Arabidopsis thaliana: one gene and its partner. The protein of the gene in region 2 interacts with the protein of the main gene of each other region in a pairwise test. Each region holds a gene or a part of one and is shown on either strand. Other genes may lie near its edges. The genes, in order: AT1G11050 and AT3G61930.

Region 1 (10,093 bases), on a different chromosome or scaffold from region 2:
ACCACTGTAAAGAAAGTCAACAAGTAATCTCTCTTTCAATATACAAAGAAAGCACCTTCACTTAACCCACGTTTCAGTAAATTGGATTGCAAAAAGAATAGACCCTGACAATACCTAAACAATCACAAAAGTAGCAATCTAAGATGCTTTATACGAGTTATCAACCTCCTAGGCAATCATAGACTACCTTTCTATATTACGAAAGATATCAGTGCAGATGAAAAAAAAACATACAGCTTCACACCTCCATAACAGCGTGACAATCCATAACAACCTCAAGGACTGCATCAAGTCCTCCTAGTTCTCGCAGTTTCTCCTTGAAATTCCCTCCAGTCTTCTTTACAGAACCAGAAGTATCTGGATGGGGGTAAACAAAAGATCATAATATTATCACCTTAATTCTATGCTAAAATAAACCTAGAGAAGCAAAATAAATACTGGAGAGAACAGGAACTTTTCATCATCTATAACCTAATCTAACTGATTCTAAGATGATCTCCGAAATAGTTAGCTAGTCATTACTTCCGGGAGAAAAGGCAAAAAGTTCTAATACCATCAAAAGAAATTTTGGATACGCATGCTCTCTCCATGGCCAACAAAGCTACCCATTTTGTACTTAGCTCAGGCCTCGTTGTTTCAGTTATATAGCTATCATTCAGTCTCATTTCTTTGCAATTAACAAGAAGTTCCTGAACTCTTGAGAGGATATCACTGGAGCTCGGATCATCCATTTTCACTGGATCCCGTGCTGCATCAACATCCTTAAGTAATGATAAGAGCTTAAATCCTATATTGCGTGGCTTCCCTTCGGTGCTAGTGACAATCACAGGTTTCAACAACTTTATCAGAAACTTGATGCACTTGGGTGACTCCATAAAGTGCTCGTCTTGACCCTGGAGTCATGAAAATGAATTGGTAAAGTTATATACGGAAAATGTGAAATGGTGAATAAGAAACCAAAAAAACGTCAATGAATCAAAGATTAAACATCAAAAACATACATAACAGCATCTGCAAATCACTTACATCAGCAGTTAGCGCAAAGAAAAGGGTGGCTGCGGCAAGATTGCTTGGTATATCATCAAGGCTAAGAACCAAAATCGCATCAATTATGGATTGGGAAATCCTGAAACAATAAGCTCCCACAAAATTAGGTAACTTTTCCTGAGATTTCATGATACTTACGACTCAGCATCCATCTAGGACTTCTTATCGACTCAACCAACGAATCAATTAATGGGACAAACACAAAATCTCCAGTCCTTGGGAGAGAATCAGACATAGTCCTAAAACCTTACCTCGCATGCATCATGATACAAACCCTATTCAGTAATACACCATTCCAATCCACTACAAACCAGATTCTCTAAACTGTCATGCCCTAATCCTCTTCAGAAGTCCAAATCCATCACAAATCTGATTTACAAGAACCAAAAATACAGAGAAGAGAAAACGAAACCATAGAGTTTGTTGGCCCTAATCGTGCCCTAATCTAGAAGACCGGAAAACAATGAAAACCCACATGCCAATTTGGAAAATTTCTCATGAATTGAACAAAATCAAACCCCAAAGAGAAGGGGGAAATCGAAAAATCTAAGAAAAAAGAGTAAAGCTTCTTACCCTTGAGCCCTCAAGGAGCGACGCTGGTGTTGAGATGCACAAATCGACAATAGAGAGGACAAGCTAGCTCTTCTGATCCTGAGCTGGTGTCCTTTCCTCAACCCATCAAGCGCAAAGTTAACCTCATCCTCATGCTCCATCAGCTCACCAAACTCCTGAGCCTCAAGCAAAGTGGAAGTAAAAGCAGCAGCCTCAGCACCGTTCCTGACTCTTTTCGCCCTCCGTACAACACCTCCGTTCTGTGGATAATCCTCTCTGAAATTTGACCTGGAAGAAGAATGCCAGAGAGAGGAAGACTCTTGACTGGAGAAAGGAAGGAGAGAGTAATCAATGGGCTCGATGTCCGGCGACGAAGAGGAAGAGAGATACTCAGTCTGAGAAACAGAGTCGTTTAGAGAGTCCGATAGGGTCCTCGGAATCCCCGGCTTACGGCGGCCGTAGGTTCGTTCCATCATCGCCGAGACGAGTCGTTGAATTTGCAAATTTTTGGGGAAGAGTTTTAGGTGAGAAAATCGAAACAAGGGTATTTCGGGAAGAAAGACAAATATATAAAAGTGCTCGTAAGATCTGCGTAGCTGAAGAAGAGAGCAGCAAATGCGATTGGCCGTTAGTTTTACAATTATCATTAAATTTTGTTGTTACCACAGTAATAACTAATACTAAGTGAGTAACCAGAATGTTTTAAATTACTAACTAACTTTAGCAATTAAAAGTTAAAAAGAGCACACAAATTTTCACAGTCTGATTTTTGGGGTTTCAAGTTGTGTCTGAATTACAACTAAACATTTATTTGTTATTGATTTTTTTTTTTGAGTATTACCAATGCTGGAAAGTTTTAAATTTATGCTAGTTTGAGCATTTTATATTCAACTGATTCAGGAAATTGTGTAATGTACTGTATACTGTAAAATATAGAATTTACCAGATATAAAATTAATAGTAAAATATGTATCTGATTTTTTTCTGTTGAAAATGCTTTGACAAATCATTATGTATCAAACTATGTAATTTCTTGTTGACAAAAAAAAAAAATATGTAATTTCTTCTTATTTATATACATATAAATTTTGCAACGGACAAAAATAAACACAAATTTGAATGGTTGCAGAATTTTACATGGTGGCTGAGGCGAGAGGACCATTAGTGTCAAGATGGTGCAGGACTGTGAACCACTGCACCAAATGTGAGTGCCTTAATAACTTTTGCACTTGTACCGGAAGGCTTCCACCAGCTACCGCCCTCACCCCCGCATCTCAGCCTTCGCCTCTACTTTGATTTAGAATATAATCCTACAATGAACTATATGTTTTCCCTACTTATGATATACTACAACATTCTGAAATTGTTTTACATGATGTAATCAAAAGACGTGATCGTTGCTTTCAAATATTTACAAAATAAAATCTCACATGAGCCTAGTTTTTTCATCTGAGCATATCTCCGGAATGTATTTGTAGTCCGCTAAGCGCAGGCGATATTGTGAATCCGTTTCCGTCCATACGGTACGAAGGATGCGCGAGCGGGACTGGTCGGTCCGGAATAGGAGGAACCTCGATGTCTCCTTCAAGCATTTTCAATGCATCTAATATTGTTGGCCTTAAAGCAACCAATACATGGGCACACAATATCCCAACTTGCAAGAATCTCTCCATTATCCCTTTCGGATTCGAGAGCCCTGAGCCTTCCTCTCTCAACAAAGACTGCTCAAGAGCTTCCTCTGTTTTCCCTGCTTTTACCAATGACCAAGCCCAATCTGTGATCAGAAAAGTGTTTGGTGATCCAGAAGTAGACAGATCAAGAGCTTTCCTTCCACACATGATCTCCAATATAACAACCCCGAAGCTATACACATCGCTTTTCTCGGTTAATTGACCATAGAGGGCATACTCTGGAGCCAAGTAACCGTGTGTTCCCGCAACTCTGGTAGTGAGATGAGACTCTCCTTCTCTACTCTGTTTAGCTAAACCGAAATCCGCAACTCTCGCTCTCATATCGACATCTAACAATATGTTCGTACCTTTAATATCCCGGTGATAAATAGCGGGTTTCACACCGTAATGCAAATAAGCCAACCCTTTAGCCACATCCAAAATGATGCTCTTTCTCTGAGGCCAGCTCAATGGCATCTTCGTAGTCTCACCTCGAGGAAACAAGTGATCATCGAGATTTCCATTAGACATGTAATCATAAACAAGATATCTCTGACTCTCACTATCATCATCCACCATACTACAACCTCTAAGCGGAACAAGATTCCTATGTTTCAAATTGCTAATGATCTCAACCTCATTACGAAACTCTGCATCCCCTTGAAACTCAGACTCTATCACCTTCTTAACCGCGATAACCGATCCATCTGGTAAAACCCCTTTGTAAACAAAACCAAACCCGCCTCGACCGATGAAATTCTTCTGCGAGAAGTTATTCGTAGCTTTCTCTAGTTCCTCGATTTTGAACCAGATAGAGCCAGTGTTTGGTCTCCATTTCGGTCTAGACCCTTGATCCTCCCAACCAACCTCTCCTCCTTTAACAGCTTTACCAAACCGGAAATACAAACAAATCAAACCGGCAATAACCAGAGCCCCGAAAATAGCTCCGGTTATCCCTAAAGCAAGAGCCACCGTGTGTCTTTTCTTCTTTGAGTTCAATGGAGATCTCAAACTCAAAGAGAAGAGACAAGACAAAGCATCATCACTCTCAGGTCCTTTCTTGTTAACAATACCAGCAGCGTAAGTAACCACAAAATGGTAACAATAAACACCGTGAGAGCTATTACCGTCCAAAGTGATGAGCTGTTTTTGAACCCTAAACCCAGCCGCCACGCAAGCGTCGCATCGCGTTAGATCAGTGAGACCACTGCTACAGGCGGAGTCAAGCGCCGTAGATGGACCGAGACGAGATACCCAATCTTGAGTCGTTTGGATTCCAGCACAGGTTTCGTTATTGATGACGAACTGATTCGGATCGAAACAGAGAGAGGTGAGATTCGAAGATAGAGAGAGTGAACTAAGCTTCGTTTGGAGATTGTTGAGACAAGAGATTGAAGTAGCGAGATTTGGGAGACGGAAATTGGAAGTTTGTTTGAGACGATGAGCTAGAGGGATTCCGATTAGAGTTAAAAGAGATTGGCAACAACTGTTCTTGCTATCGGCTGATTTGTCGGACTTTTGACAATCTGTTGTGTTCCATGGGATTGTTAGGACATGAGAGAAATCTAAAGGACAAGTTTGTGATGGAGATTGAGCAACGCAGTTTGTGAGATACAGGAATGAAAGAAGAAGAAAGAGAATCGAGTTAGGCATGTTTATGTTGGATTATGGTGAAATCGAAGATATGGGTTTGGAGAATCTGAGGTTTTTTGGTGGTGGAAAGTGAGTGATTGATTTTGGCGGCCATGAAAGTTGAGGAAAAAAGTTGGATTCTTTTGGTCAAAGAGGCTGCTTTGATCTGTTTGACTTTGGAAGCAACATGGAAATGCAGCTTGTCCCCACCTGCAACTGCCAACACTAACGATGAATGAAACATATTCCATAGTGGCTACGTTTCACTTTCGTTTTTAATGTTAAATGTGGGAAAATTGAAAAAGCAAAATTAATAGATAGTACTAGGATTATAAAATTTTGACAAAATTAATGGGACAAAAATTCAGACGGTAAGACAAAAGAGAAAACTGAATAAAGGTCAACTAGAGATATCATTTTAAACAGTCGACTAAATTATCAAATTAGACTCTTTACGTGTAGAGTTGTTATTATTGCTTGCTGATGGGAATGGGGATCCACTATTGCGGATAAAAATAACTTATGCAACATACAAAACTACCAAAGATTGTGCTACAACCGAAACGGATCATTCGTTATTCTCATGTCAGTATGCTCATGCACTTTCGATAAACTATACAAGTCTACAAATGTACCGCTGGTAAATGTATCTTTTGAGTGTATCCATAATCTCATGATAAGTACAATACTTTGGTTCTGATTATTCTCTCTCAAACCGGGTCGATGCATGCTCATCCAATTCCTAGTAAAAAGTTATCAAAGGGGAATTAAATAAGAAAAGCCTATAAATTTTCTTAAGAAAATATTTTTATTTCGGAAAACAAAAAAACAGAAATTTCCTAATAAAAGCTCTCCCAAACAACTCGGCTCTTCGTCTGTCTGATAATCTAATTCATCCCTACACACGACAACGACAAGTTTCCTCATCTTTCTCTCTGTTTTCTCTTTCCGCTAATTTCTTGATCATCTTCTTCTTGTTCTGTATGCAATGGGGACTCCTCGTTCGCCGGCTACAGATTTCTTTGGAATTTCCAAGACAGCATGCAAAGCCTACAAGTCCCTCGTCACCAAATTGCACCCTCTTTCTTCTCATCGCAAATCCGAATCCCATTCCGATGCCGATTCCGTACGTTTAATTAACATCTTCTCTTATTGTGACGAACGCTATTTTCTGATCATCATTTCATTTACGTTTTCACATTTGAGCAATGATTTTTGCTATGGAATAACGTAGAAATAGATAAATTGTTCCCAACAATGATCAAACGGCGAAATATTCGATTTATATCATTATGGATTTCCGTTTCTTTCTTCTTTTTATCTCTTCGAGGATTGTTTGTGAAAACCTCTGTTTCGTAAAATAAAAAAATCATTTTTCAATCCAGAGATCGTGAGAACAGAGTAAAATAATATTTTTGTTTGTAAAAATTGATAGGCAATCCACCGGAGATATTTGGAGGAGAAATTTGCGGAGGAGGATGATCTCATTGCTGCTCGGAGAGGTCTCCGGCTACAGAGCATGGACGATAGTAGCGTCTTCAAACGTCGTTCTTCTCTGTTATCAAACTCAAGTAGCCGCCGTAGCCACACGCCGCAAGCTAGACCAACGTACCTCTCTTCCTCCGCTTCTTCCAACCGCCGTTCTGCTTTCTCAAGAAGCACAAGCCGTAGAGACGAAGGCAGCAGCCACAGCGGAGTGAGAAGCCACGGTTTGAAATCACGTCCCATCTCAAACAACACCAGTCCGATGACGTCACCTTTCACGAGTCCTAGAGGAAAAGATCAAACCTTAGGTGATTTATTCGGATCTGTAAAGAAACTTTCGTCTCCTACAAGCAATAGTCCGATAAACGGCGTCAAACAATCTTCTCCTTCGTCGATTTCGAAGAGTGCTAGCAAGAGAGATAAGGATGAAAGAGGCTCTACGAGCTCGGCGACATCGACCTCTCTGCCATATTCAAAGAGTAAGAGCACGAGGGATACGGCTGGATCAATTGCAAAGAGTATAAGCCGGAGAAGCACAACGCCGATAGTGTTTTCGCAGTCTACACCGCCGAAAAAACCACCAGCTGTGGAGAAAAAGCTTGAGTGTACGTTAGAAGAACTCTGCCATGGTGGAGTCAAGAACATCAAGATCAAAAGAGACATTATTACCGATGAAGGGTTTGTTTCTTGGCTCTCACGTTCTCTTATTTTACTCAATGAGTCATTCATTATGTTCTGTTTTTTTGTAACAGATTGATTATGCAACAAGAAGAAATGTTAAGAGTGAATATCCAACCGGGATGGAAGAAAGGGACGAAGATCACATTCGAAGGAGTAGGGAACGAAAAACCGGGCTATCTACCTGAAGATATTACATTTGTGGTTGAAGAAAAGAGACACCCTTTGTTCAAAAGACGTGGAGACGACTTAGAGATTGCGGTAGAGATTCCTCTTTTAAAGGCTTTAACAGGATGCAAACTCTCGGTGCCACTATTGAGCGGAGAGTCAATGTCGATAACCGTGGGAGATGTGATCTTCCACGGATTTGAGAAGGCGATAAAAGGTCAAGGTATGCCAAATGCTAAAGAAGAAGGTAAGCGAGGGGATTTGAGAATAACGTTTTTAGTGAATTTCCCGGAGAAGTTGAGTGAAGAACAACGATCAATGGCCTATGAGGTGTTGAAAGATTGTTCTTGGGCATAAAGGTTTATAATATGCATATGTGTTTCTTCATGCCTTTCACTTCCTTCATTGTATATATGTTTCCTACTAGTCGAGTGGGCTTGATGCGTTAAAGTTGTGATTCGTTGACATTAGGCTTATTTTTATATATTTTCCTTTATATATACATTTTGTTTTCTTAGATTGAGCTGTTTTTTCTATGATTCTTTCTTGCTGTGAATGATACAATTGTCTTCTTGTAGTTAACATTGATCAGTATATCGACAAAGATAACTATCTGAAAAAATTGACAATCAACTTAGCTTTAGTAATGCTTACGACTTTTACGAGTTCTTTGGAGTGAATCCAAAAGAAAACGATGATATTATATACTATAATCTGCACTAGCATACTAAATGACCGCATAGCGCAGTGGATTAGCGCGTCTGACTTCGGATCAGAAGGTCGTGGGTTCGACTCCCACTGTGGTCGTATTTTTGTTATATTTTTAGGTTTTCGGGGGTTTGTAGGAAATTTAAGCTGCAACGACGTACCTATGCTCTCCGTTATCATCTCACTGCTTTCAGAAACTGTAACTCAAAAAGGAACACTTTTACACTAATATCCCTTTTCTCTGGTGAGAGCTTTTTGTGTGATAACTGAAACATCAGTCGGTATATAGACTCTGTTTGTAGATTTGGGTCTCAATATCTTTAATAGTCACTGAAAAACCAGTAGCATTGCATCACCTCATACCATAATTATAATAAATATATATAAGACAAAATATCCATTAGGTACTTTTCATCGCATGATAAAGAAAAGAAAGACACTCTGTGAACATATACGTATGAACTCGTCTCTCTCATGTGCCCGAAACTCCTTACAACCTTTATTTGACAGTTAAAAAACACGGTCACAGAAGTTTCAGCATTTTCAGTCTTCCTTCGTGCTCTGCATCCAGCTTCGGGGGAGTGTAACTTCCGTGAAGATCCTCCACAATGTACTCCTTTGTGAGCTCTCGCTTGGTGAGAATATGGTAATGTCTCTGCCATATCCTTTGGATAGCCATAGTTGCAGCAAGAAACCCATACGCTAAACCAAGAATGGCAAAGATGACGACAAAAACAACAACAAGAGCGAAACAAGCTTCCATTGAAGCAGGGAAACAATCCAAGACACCCCATCCATAACAGCAGTTCTGGCATCCAGCCATCCTCGGGTCATTACCGTTGAGAGCAGAGCAATGTAGAATGATTCCAAGAAATCCAGTCAGCACAAAGAAGGATATAACCCCTAAGAATTCATGACACACCAAATGTTCAAACGCGTGTAAGGCTTCTAGATCCGTGGTATTTGAAAGGTATACTAGTTACGCAATAAAAGGGAGATGAAAGATTCAGTAAATACCAATGCAGTAATAAAACGGGATGGGATGTTTCGACAAAATACGATCCCAATCATCGTTGAAAGAGTTGCGAAACTCTCCGTCTTTGTCCATCATATATGCGAATCCGGCCATCACAGCGATAACCTAGAGTTTCAACAATCTTCTTATTATCAGACGTCAAAAAGATTCAGACAATCTCTATGAAAAACAAGCTTCAAAAATGGCAAGTCACAGTGAGCAAAATGAACAATTTGATAGTCATCAACTTCCATTGTCAATTTCAAGCACCCACCATGTGTACGCAGTAACCAGGTCAAGATTCGAATCTAGTTCACTTTGTGAGCCAGATTATGACATCATATAAAATTTATCCTCAGAATCTCTTAATAAATGCTTTATAATCCTCACGAAAACTATGAAGAGAAGCTGAGAGAGAGAGATACTCACAGTCTGCACAGCTAAGAAAACCAAAAGCACATCTCTTGCGACAAAGAGTCTGAATTTAGCTTTTCTACGCCACGAATTGTTATCCTCAAAGGGTTCGACTCTCAGATGAAACTGTGCTTTGCAAGTAGTACAGTGAGAGAAAGCAAAACCTTCTTTAACCGATCGCCAATGATCGAGACATGAGCGATGCACGAATTGTTGAGTGCCTTTACACATACAAGGTGAAATCAATTCATCGCCTAACAATTCACTATCGTCCTCCAAACAAATACGACAACAAGGAGCTGAAGAAGCATCGTTCTCTAAATCTTCTTCAGCCTTTATCTCATCGCTATTTCCTGCCACCACAGACGCAGCAGAAGGAGACGCCGAAGAAGAATTGGTGTGATCTCCTAACAAAGGAGCGGAATCACTTAGTTTCTGTGAATCCGGTGGCTGCAATTGTACTTCACCTTGCATCATTGATCCAAACCTTCGCTAACCCTAAATTTCAGACAAGAAATCTGTGGGTGGAAATCAATCGGTGTGATTAGAGGACTAATGATTCGAATCGAGTCAAATACATTAGCGTCTCTGTGTTCGTTGATCGGCTAGAGAATAATCGTGCGGGGATGTGAGAAGATTATTTACAGAAGTGGGAGAGAGGCAAAACATAAAACTGGAGAAGAAGGGTCAATGCGAGAGAGAAACGAAAGCTTCTTTATTTTGG
Region 2 (8,478 bases):
CCAGGAGGTACTTGTGACTGTCCGTTTACTGATATGTTCATTGCTAAAGATAGAAAAAGGAGAAGAAAATAGAACGAGTTTATAACTAACCAAAGTATGTCTATATATATGTGTATATTTTTTACATCAACTCTGCAAAAAAATAAATAATAGTACATGCATGAGAAAATGCATGTGTTCTTTTGCTCTCATATTTTTAATTCCTTTGTTAAGTTTTCTTTTTAACAGTGGAGTATTATTTTTCCGAATATTTGATGTTTTCATTATAAGTTCGCATGAGCCGCCACTTACAATTAAACATATGAGCCTCTAAGAGCTTGTTTTAATAATTTGAAAATGTCTGTTTTATACTCATAGTGAATGCACTTCTCGAAAAATTACTCCCTATGAGTTTTTACTTAATTCTTAGTTCATACCAAGTATATCCAGCCAAAACAAAAAAAAAAAAGTATATCGATCAAGCTTCTTCGGCCTTTGGTTTTGCCGACTTTTCGCTCTACTAATTGCCTAGATTAGCATGTTAGTTTTGTTTTGTTTTTGCTTTTATCCAGAAATCTCTCGTAATGGTTGATTCGTCATGAGTTCACCTAGTATTTAAAAATCTATCTATTTTTCTGCATGATTCAGTATCTCTTTAACAAAGAAAAAAAATATGATTCAGTAAATTAGATCCGTTATAAATACAATGTTGCAATATTTCATCTAATAAAAGTTATAGTAATGTCTCTCTTTTTTTTTTATTTTTTTTTGGGTCAAATATACTAATGGTCTCTTTATTAAACATCGAAATTATTTGCTCTTTTTGTCCGGTGAAATTGTTTATGGCAATTTCGGAATAGTGCGTGAGAGAGAGCGGTGGGACCATGCACGTAGCTATTGGGTAAAAATATGGTCCACGCGGGATCCACATATCAACTATAATGTAGGAAGCAAGCCCACATCGCTCCGATGACCCTCGACCTTAAAAATCTCTATGGACAAGACATTCCTCATTTTATTTTTATTTTATATAGAAACGAATAGTGTTAACAAAAAAAGTGAATGAAGGGTGATGGCAACAAAAAATGTATGTGATGTGATGAAGAAAGACTTTATACATTATTGTGTTAAATACGACTTTAAAGCTCGTAGCTTGTTCTTGTTGAAGGTGATGCGAAGATAATGATATACTACATGATAATCCACAACCTCCTTAGAAGATGGAGAGAAAGAAAGAGATTAAGATCTGATTCAAGAAGCGTTTATCAAATATATGTGAAGTTAACATTGCAACGAATGTCTAAGATTCGAATATTGTGCATGTGGTTCACTCGAACTAATCATAAAGTTAACCTATCTGGTATTCAGGAAACGACGGTGGATTCGATTCATCCAAATTAAAATTTTAAATTATTGTATTAATTTAAACTTGAATGACGGCATGAATCTAGATGAACAGTTGTTTACAACTGTAAGCGAGGAGGTATCTACGTATGTTGTAGATTTTGTGGGGGCCTATTTACAAAAGGTTATTTTCTGAATTTCCTTTTTCTTACACATGGTTTTGAGATTATAATAGATTAATACGCAAGGGCCGTTCAAATTTGCCATGTGCTATAGGATAACATTGTTAATAAAAAATTAAATCATGAGATTAAAATTTTGAGTTAATGAATATTCTGAAATGTCTTTTTCATTTTTCTAACATGGTTCTGAGTTTATAGCAGAGTAATATATAATCTGATTAAAACGAACGTTGTTGCGGCACGGAGCTATGATAAATTGATGATAATTAGTGACAAAAAACTAAAATGATATAATTGAAGTATTACAAATCGTAATTTTTCTAGAAGATGAAGGAAGTTTGCATGGGAAGCAATCTTAATTTGAGGTGTTTCAAAATTTATTAAACCCTTAATGGTGAGACGTCATATAACTATATATATTAGCACTCGTGCTTGTCGGACTTATAACTTTAGCCTAATCTTAAACTGTTTCTGGCCAGCTTTGTGTCATTGGGCCTGAAATAAAAGAGTTTCTCCCTTTTGTTTTGCTCTTCTAGACTTTTGGCATTGAATAGGGAAGATTAAATAATCTCTAACTACGAGTCTACGACTTCATAAATTAATTGTTTCATGAGAGATAACAATGATATTTCAAATATATCTACGTTGATAAACTTATATAATCGTTCCAAGTCTTCAATGAATACGGAAATCAACATACTAATTTAAATGCTTAAATCGTGAAACAGATTAAAACATAAACGTAGTTTATTCATAATTCGAAATTTTACCACAATTTCCCTTTAAAGCTACTCGTAACGCTTAGCTGGTCTGAATTCGCTCTCGAATGAACTCCTCCGCCGCAGCCGTAACCGCCACACTTCGCCACCGTCCTCACACTTTCCACCAACGCTTCCGTTTCCACATCCTCCGCAAGAATTTCCGCCAACTGCTCCGGACTTATCACAAGCCTCACCTTCCACACTCCACAACCACCGCCACTCAAAGCCGCCATTATCGGCGTCTTCCCGAAAGACATTCTGTACGGCGTTGATAGTTGGTCGGAGGAATCCAGTTGAGCGGTCGCGGCTGCGGAAGAAGAAAGAGGAAGGAGGTAGTAGATGTTACCGGGAAAGAGTTCTTCGCCGTGGAGAAGCGGTGGAGATGAGTGGCGGAGGCTTAAAGAGTCGTGGATGACATGGCCGGGAAATTCGTTGGTGATGAATTCGGCGAAGATGGGAGGATGAAGCTCCATCACGCCACCGTTTGGAGTCACCACTTTTATCAACGAATCATCTTTATCGTATAATTTTCTTGAACCACCATTGCCTTTGAATACGCAGTTACCCATTTTTGCTACATAAGTTAGAAATAATAACTGATTATTTTGTGTATATGTAATGTATGGAATCCAAAGAAAACCCCAAGACGGAGAAGGGTTTAAGACAAACGTTTTCTTTGAGCAGATGAAGTATATATCTTTACGACGTAAAGAAAAAATGAAAATTGCGAATGGTCCACCACTTTTCTTGTAAACAAAAGGACCGAAGATATTGTGCTTGCGATATTATCATCATTACTATTATTTTAGTCTTTGAAAGATAAATGATTATTATTTTTGGTTATTTGAGAATTGAGAGTAATTGGCAATGGTCTGTTTGTAGAACAATTGACAACAAGTAGAAAACATTTGAAGGTAAAATAAAAAATGAACTAATTTCTGTAGAATAATTGGCAGATTAATAAATAAAATAAAACCTTATCTAAACAAATTACAAAAAGTAAGATAAATGGTTTTCCTTAACCTATTTTCCATTTAGAAAGGTAAGTGATAGGGGTAATAATGTTCACGTGAGGTCAAAAGGTGAAAAGGCCGACAGAGACAAAAAGACTTTAATCTTTGTAAAATTATTATGGATGATTAATGAATTTAACCATTTTACCAAATTGTTAGAAAACCTCCACGAAAACTAATTCTATAAATTTATAAATGGAACGTGTGAAACTATGGACCAAACAGAGTACATCTTATCAGATCAACAGAGTATATAATTGCATGTTGTTTTTACTCGAATTGATTAATATAATGTCACATAACTTGTGTGGATCCATGTCCTACAACAATATAACATTTTGTCTTTTTATATTATACGGAGTTCAAAAAAGAAAGATTCTGGAATACGAAGGAAAAAAAACAGTAGTACCTTTCGGTGCACTCAATTACGTACACCAACAATTTCTTGGCGGGTCATTATTAATTTCAAGGGTCCTAATGGGCAATGGCCCATATTACATACTCTTCTTTTTTTCTTCCTATTATTTAAATTATATTAGAGAGCTTTGAGCCCACCATAGTGCAAAATATATTGTTTTTAAAAAGACCACTAGCTAATTGTCACAGTCTCTCACATACCACATGCTGAAATTGCAAATACTAACAAAGAATCAAGATTTGTAGAAATACAAATGATATTTTATTCATTTATTGTTTTTGTCAGTTTGATTTATTATTTTTGTAAAAAAAAACAAAAAACAAGTGAGATAGTGTATCGGTGTTTAGTTAGGGACTTAAATGTGATTTTGGTTCATATGTACTTTTTGCTAGCCTAAATTAAACTGAGTTTAGTATAAATTGTTCTGTACAATCTTGGTCTTGGTTTCTGTCTGATACTTTTTTAATTATTTATTTTAAGTTTCTTAATTATAAAGAAAAGAAGTTCATTTGAGCCTAACATCAACAAACTATATGGCCCAAACCATTGCCAACACTAATAATGGGCTAAACTTCACTGAATGGAACTACATAATGGGCCTCACGAAAAACTACATTATGAATTTCTTCTTTGTGGTCCTGATTATGACATTGCCTTCTTTTGTGAACAGAAAAAACTAATGACATTGCCTTCTTTGATGAGCTTTGCTAAACGGGGATCTTACATACAAAAATTTAATCTAATCGAAACCCAATCAGAAAAAACGGGGAGGTTCTCCGTTTCCGTTCGATCTAATATTTTATTTTGATATAAAACGAGAAATAGGTGATGATTAGTATTAAATTAGAGGTTTAAGGTGACAAAATCCCGGGGATAAAGACCGTACTTTAAGATAGTTGACGCGTGAAACACACCCTGTGTTATGTTATGGGTTTTAATTTACTTAGATTCCACGTCAGCAGATACGTGAACCAGAACAACACTTAATAATTCCGTCTAATAACCTCGCATGCCCCATGCATCGTAGTTCACATTCTTACTCAACTCCTTCCTCATTTATCATTCCAATAAACTTTACCCAAATGGTTTCAAACCGAGATCTAACCGTACTTGACTTTGAAAATCGAATGCTAACCATTTACATACCGAACCAAAACTAAATTTACTAGATTTTATCAAGAATAACATTTTTAATCAAATGGATTTCAAAATTATACTCAGTTATATATTGAATTATACATAGTTAATTATGTATAGTTACTTTCATTAGAAATAGTTATCTAAAACCGAAATAAATCAAAATTTTCAAACCGAATCGAACCAAACTAAATCATTTTTTTCTGTGGTTTCGTTTGGACATACTTTGACAGCAAAATCGAAATACCCAAACCGGAAAACCAAATTGCACACGCCTATATAAAATGCCTTCGCTTATAGAAAATGCCTAACAATCTCTCATAGTCATATATAGAAACAAGTCATACACGTATCAATTAAATGCAAGCATTTGGAAAAACAAGAAAGATCAAGAAATGGGGAATTTTCTTAGGAGAAGCTGCGCTGTGCACCCGGCTTCCGGCGACGGAGGAAGAGGAAGACACGTGGACGAGCCGCCGCAACAACGTCCAAGTAGTGTGCGGATTAAAGTGAGGATGAGAAGAGATCAACTCGAAGAGCTTTTGTACTTGGCGCGTCGTGGTGATCAATCGGACGACGGTGGTAAGATTGGTTTCTTGATTCTTAAAGAATGTATGGAAGGTCGCTTACCAGCGAGTGTTCTTGGCTCCGGTGGCGATGTTCGATCTCAACGGCGTGGAAGTTACATGGTGTATCGGAGATTGGGTTCCATCACCGAGGAATAATTCATTAATATATATATATGTGTCTTTCAATACATATAGTTTTAAAGTTTAGATAGACGACACTTTAATAACGTTTTCTAGATCAACAATTATATGTAAGGCTAAAGAAACAAAAAAAAGGAGTTTCGTTATCAAAAAATTGAAAAGAAAAATATATAAAAGTAGTATGTTTGTGTCACGCATTTAATTAAAGATATAAGTGTAAATCTCAATACTTTTTATTCGTCAACAAATATAAGAGTTTTGATGGCGTTTTAGCATCGCATAATTGTGGACATCTCAAAAGGTAAACTTAAAGACAAACTTCAAGTCTAATTGACAACTTCAAATTATTCTAAGAGCCATAAAACTATCTGGTTCATCCAAGTCGTTTATCGACCCATAGAATCTCCGGAACGTAGATAAGTTTTTGCGCTTGGTTGCTCTCTTTGGGCCTCTTAAGATCTCCTTGGCACCATCGGAAGGCTTCAAAATGATCAAATTCTTTATTCTTGTACCAAATGATGTAAAACAGAATTAGGATAATTAATAATCTTTATATTTTATTTCTCTATTTTTAAAATAACTACTATGGTTATCCTAATTGAATTATGATAATATTTGACTATTGTGTGTTTGTACATAAATTTTTTACAGACCTGGATTCTCCATTCAGAGTTCGAATCGAGACGTTTCCATTTATTTATATTTTCTCGTTTGGAATTTTCCAAATTCATCATTACAGAAAACAAACGTTAACATTCCATCAATATGTAATGTTGTACTTTTTTTTGTTTTTGTATTTTTCAAAATTTCAATTAATTGAGTCCCGTTGAAAGTCAGAGACGTCTAAGATAGGCCGAATAATTTTCTTCGTAACCATAGCAGCCGAAGTAATTCTGTATATTATTTTATTTAGTCAGCCTAGCATTTATCATTAGCCCATTATATAACTTTCAAAATGGGCCTGTTATTCTGTACAGCCTAAAGATTCAATTGTTTCGTTGAAAAACAAACAATTTCGTGGACTATCGTCAATAAGATTATGCAAAAAAAAACAAAAAAATTATGAACTTTAATGGAAATTCAGACGATATGAAGAGAGAGTTTGGCTTTTGTTTCAAGATTCTTTCCACTCTCTGTGTGATATCAGAATTGGCCCAAATCGGAATCTGATGTCGCTTAGATTTCGTCATTGTTACATTGGGTCTTTACTTAAATATATTTTCTAATGCTTCTACACATGTTATACAATATGATTTGAGGTTTGACTCTCTGTTATGGTATGAGTATGTTGTCATATCATTTAATGTGAATTTTTGGTTTGCTCGCATCCTTGTGTAGTTGTGGGATGCATGTCTCTGTTTTTTCCACCTTTAAAAATCTCCTTCAAGTCTCAAACTCTAACACCTTACTCCTGAATTGAGTTTCTACTATCTTGTTGTAAGGTATCAAATCTATATACTGTATTCATAGGATTGCGTATAGAACCCATTGAATATTGATTCATGCTCTAAAGTTACAATCTTTTTTGCTGCAGATGGATTCAAGAAGAAGTAAAGTTTGTGGAGAAACAGCTTGTGGGTTTTCAACATCTTCAAGTGATGCTAAGAAACGAGCTGCTTCAATGCGAAAGCTCTGTTTCGTTGTGGTGTTATGTCTTTTGTTCATGAGCATAGAAGTTGTTTGTGGCATTAAGGCTAACAGTTTGGCTATATTAGCAGATGCAGCTCATTTGCTCACTGATGTTGGTGCTTTTGCTATCTCTATGCTCTCCTTGTGGGCTTCTTCTTGGGAAGCAAATCCGCGACAGAGTTATGGGTTCTTCAGGATAGAGATTTTAGGCACTCTTGTCTCAATCCAGCTCATTTGGTTACTCACTGGGATTTTGGTCTACGAAGCCGTAACTAGACTCGTTCAAGAGACCAATGATGATGTTGATGGTTTCTTTATGGTTCTTGTTGCTGCTTTTGGTTTAGTTGTAAACATCATAATGATTGTTGTGCTTGGACATGATCACGGACATGGGCATGATCATGGTCACAGTCATGATCATGGTCATAGTTATGGGGAAAGAGCTGAGCAGTTGTTGGAGAAATCCAAGGAAATAAGGAACATTAATGTGCAAGGGGCTTATCTTCATGTTCTTGGGGATTTAATTCAGAGCATTGGGGTAATGATTGGAGGGGGTATGATTTGGTATAACCCTAAATGGAAAGTAATTGACTTGATATGCACGTTATTCTTTTCAGTTATTGTTTTAGGGACAACCATTAAGATGCTTCGAAGCATACTTGAAGTTCTAATGGAGAGCACACCGAGAGAGATAGACGCGAGGCAGCTCGAAAAGGGATTGATGGAAATTGAGGAAGTTGTGGATGTTCATGAGCTGCACATATGGGCAATTACAGTTGGAAAAGCTCTGTTTTCTTGTCATGTCAAGGTTAGACCAGAAGCTGGTGATGAAATGGTGCTGAACAAAGTGATCGATTACATCTGGAGAGAGTATCGTATCAGTCACGTTACGATACAAATCGAGCGTTAAAACAACAAAAGGGTTCATTTCTCTGGTTTTCTGTCATTTTCATGATCAAAGTTAAATCTTTTTTCGCTTTCTCGTATGCTCTCATTACCTTGTTGTGACATATGCCATTGTCTTTCTTGTTTATGAATAAGTTGTCTTGTCTTGAAAAAGGTAATTAAAAGGACATAACTTTATTTGAGATTAGGGATTTGTGTTAAGTTACTACTAAAGAAAAATCAGAATCTTTAGGGTTTATCTTTGATAATAGACCTACCAAAAAGAGTGGGGCATGTTTGTCCTAAGAGCAAGTAACCATAGCTCGTGTGTGACAGTTAACAACCATATCCAGTACACAATTGATAAACAAAGATTCAACTTTCTTTGGAGTTTTGATGTGTTGATAAGGTTTCTAAGGT

The links.
Region 1: the proteins of AT3G61930 (region 2) and AT1G11050 interact in a protein complementation assay, tested with the Arabidopsis thaliana proteins (one large-scale study listed by BioGRID).

Annotation. Positions count from the first base shown.
Region 1 is NC_003070.9:3,676,721-3,686,813, reverse strand, and holds AT1G11050 (Protein kinase superfamily protein), read right to left. Parts: upstream 4,927-10,093; 5' UTR 4,923-4,926; coding exon 3,045-4,922; 3' UTR 2,645-3,044; downstream 1-2,644. Other genes in the region: AT1G11060 (WAPL (Wings apart-like protein regulation of heterochromatin) protein), read right to left, coding at 245-357, 554-893, 1,027-1,126, 1,621-2,246; AT1G11040 (HSP40/DnaJ peptide-binding protein), read left to right, coding at 5,890-6,027, 6,337-7,064, 7,139-7,589; AT1G11020 (RING/FYVE/PHD zinc finger superfamily protein), read right to left, coding at 8,464-8,843, 8,958-9,081, 9,385-9,846.
Region 2 is NC_003074.8:22,930,367-22,938,844, forward strand, and holds AT3G61930 (uncharacterized protein), read left to right. Parts: upstream 1-5,143; 5' UTR 5,144-5,229; coding exon 5,230-5,559; 3' UTR 5,560-5,887; downstream 5,888-8,478. Other genes in the region: NAC066 (NAC domain protein 66), read right to left, coding at 1-41; AT3G61920 (UvrABC system protein C), read right to left, coding at 2,272-2,835; MTPA1 (Cation efflux family protein), read left to right, coding at 7,079-8,083.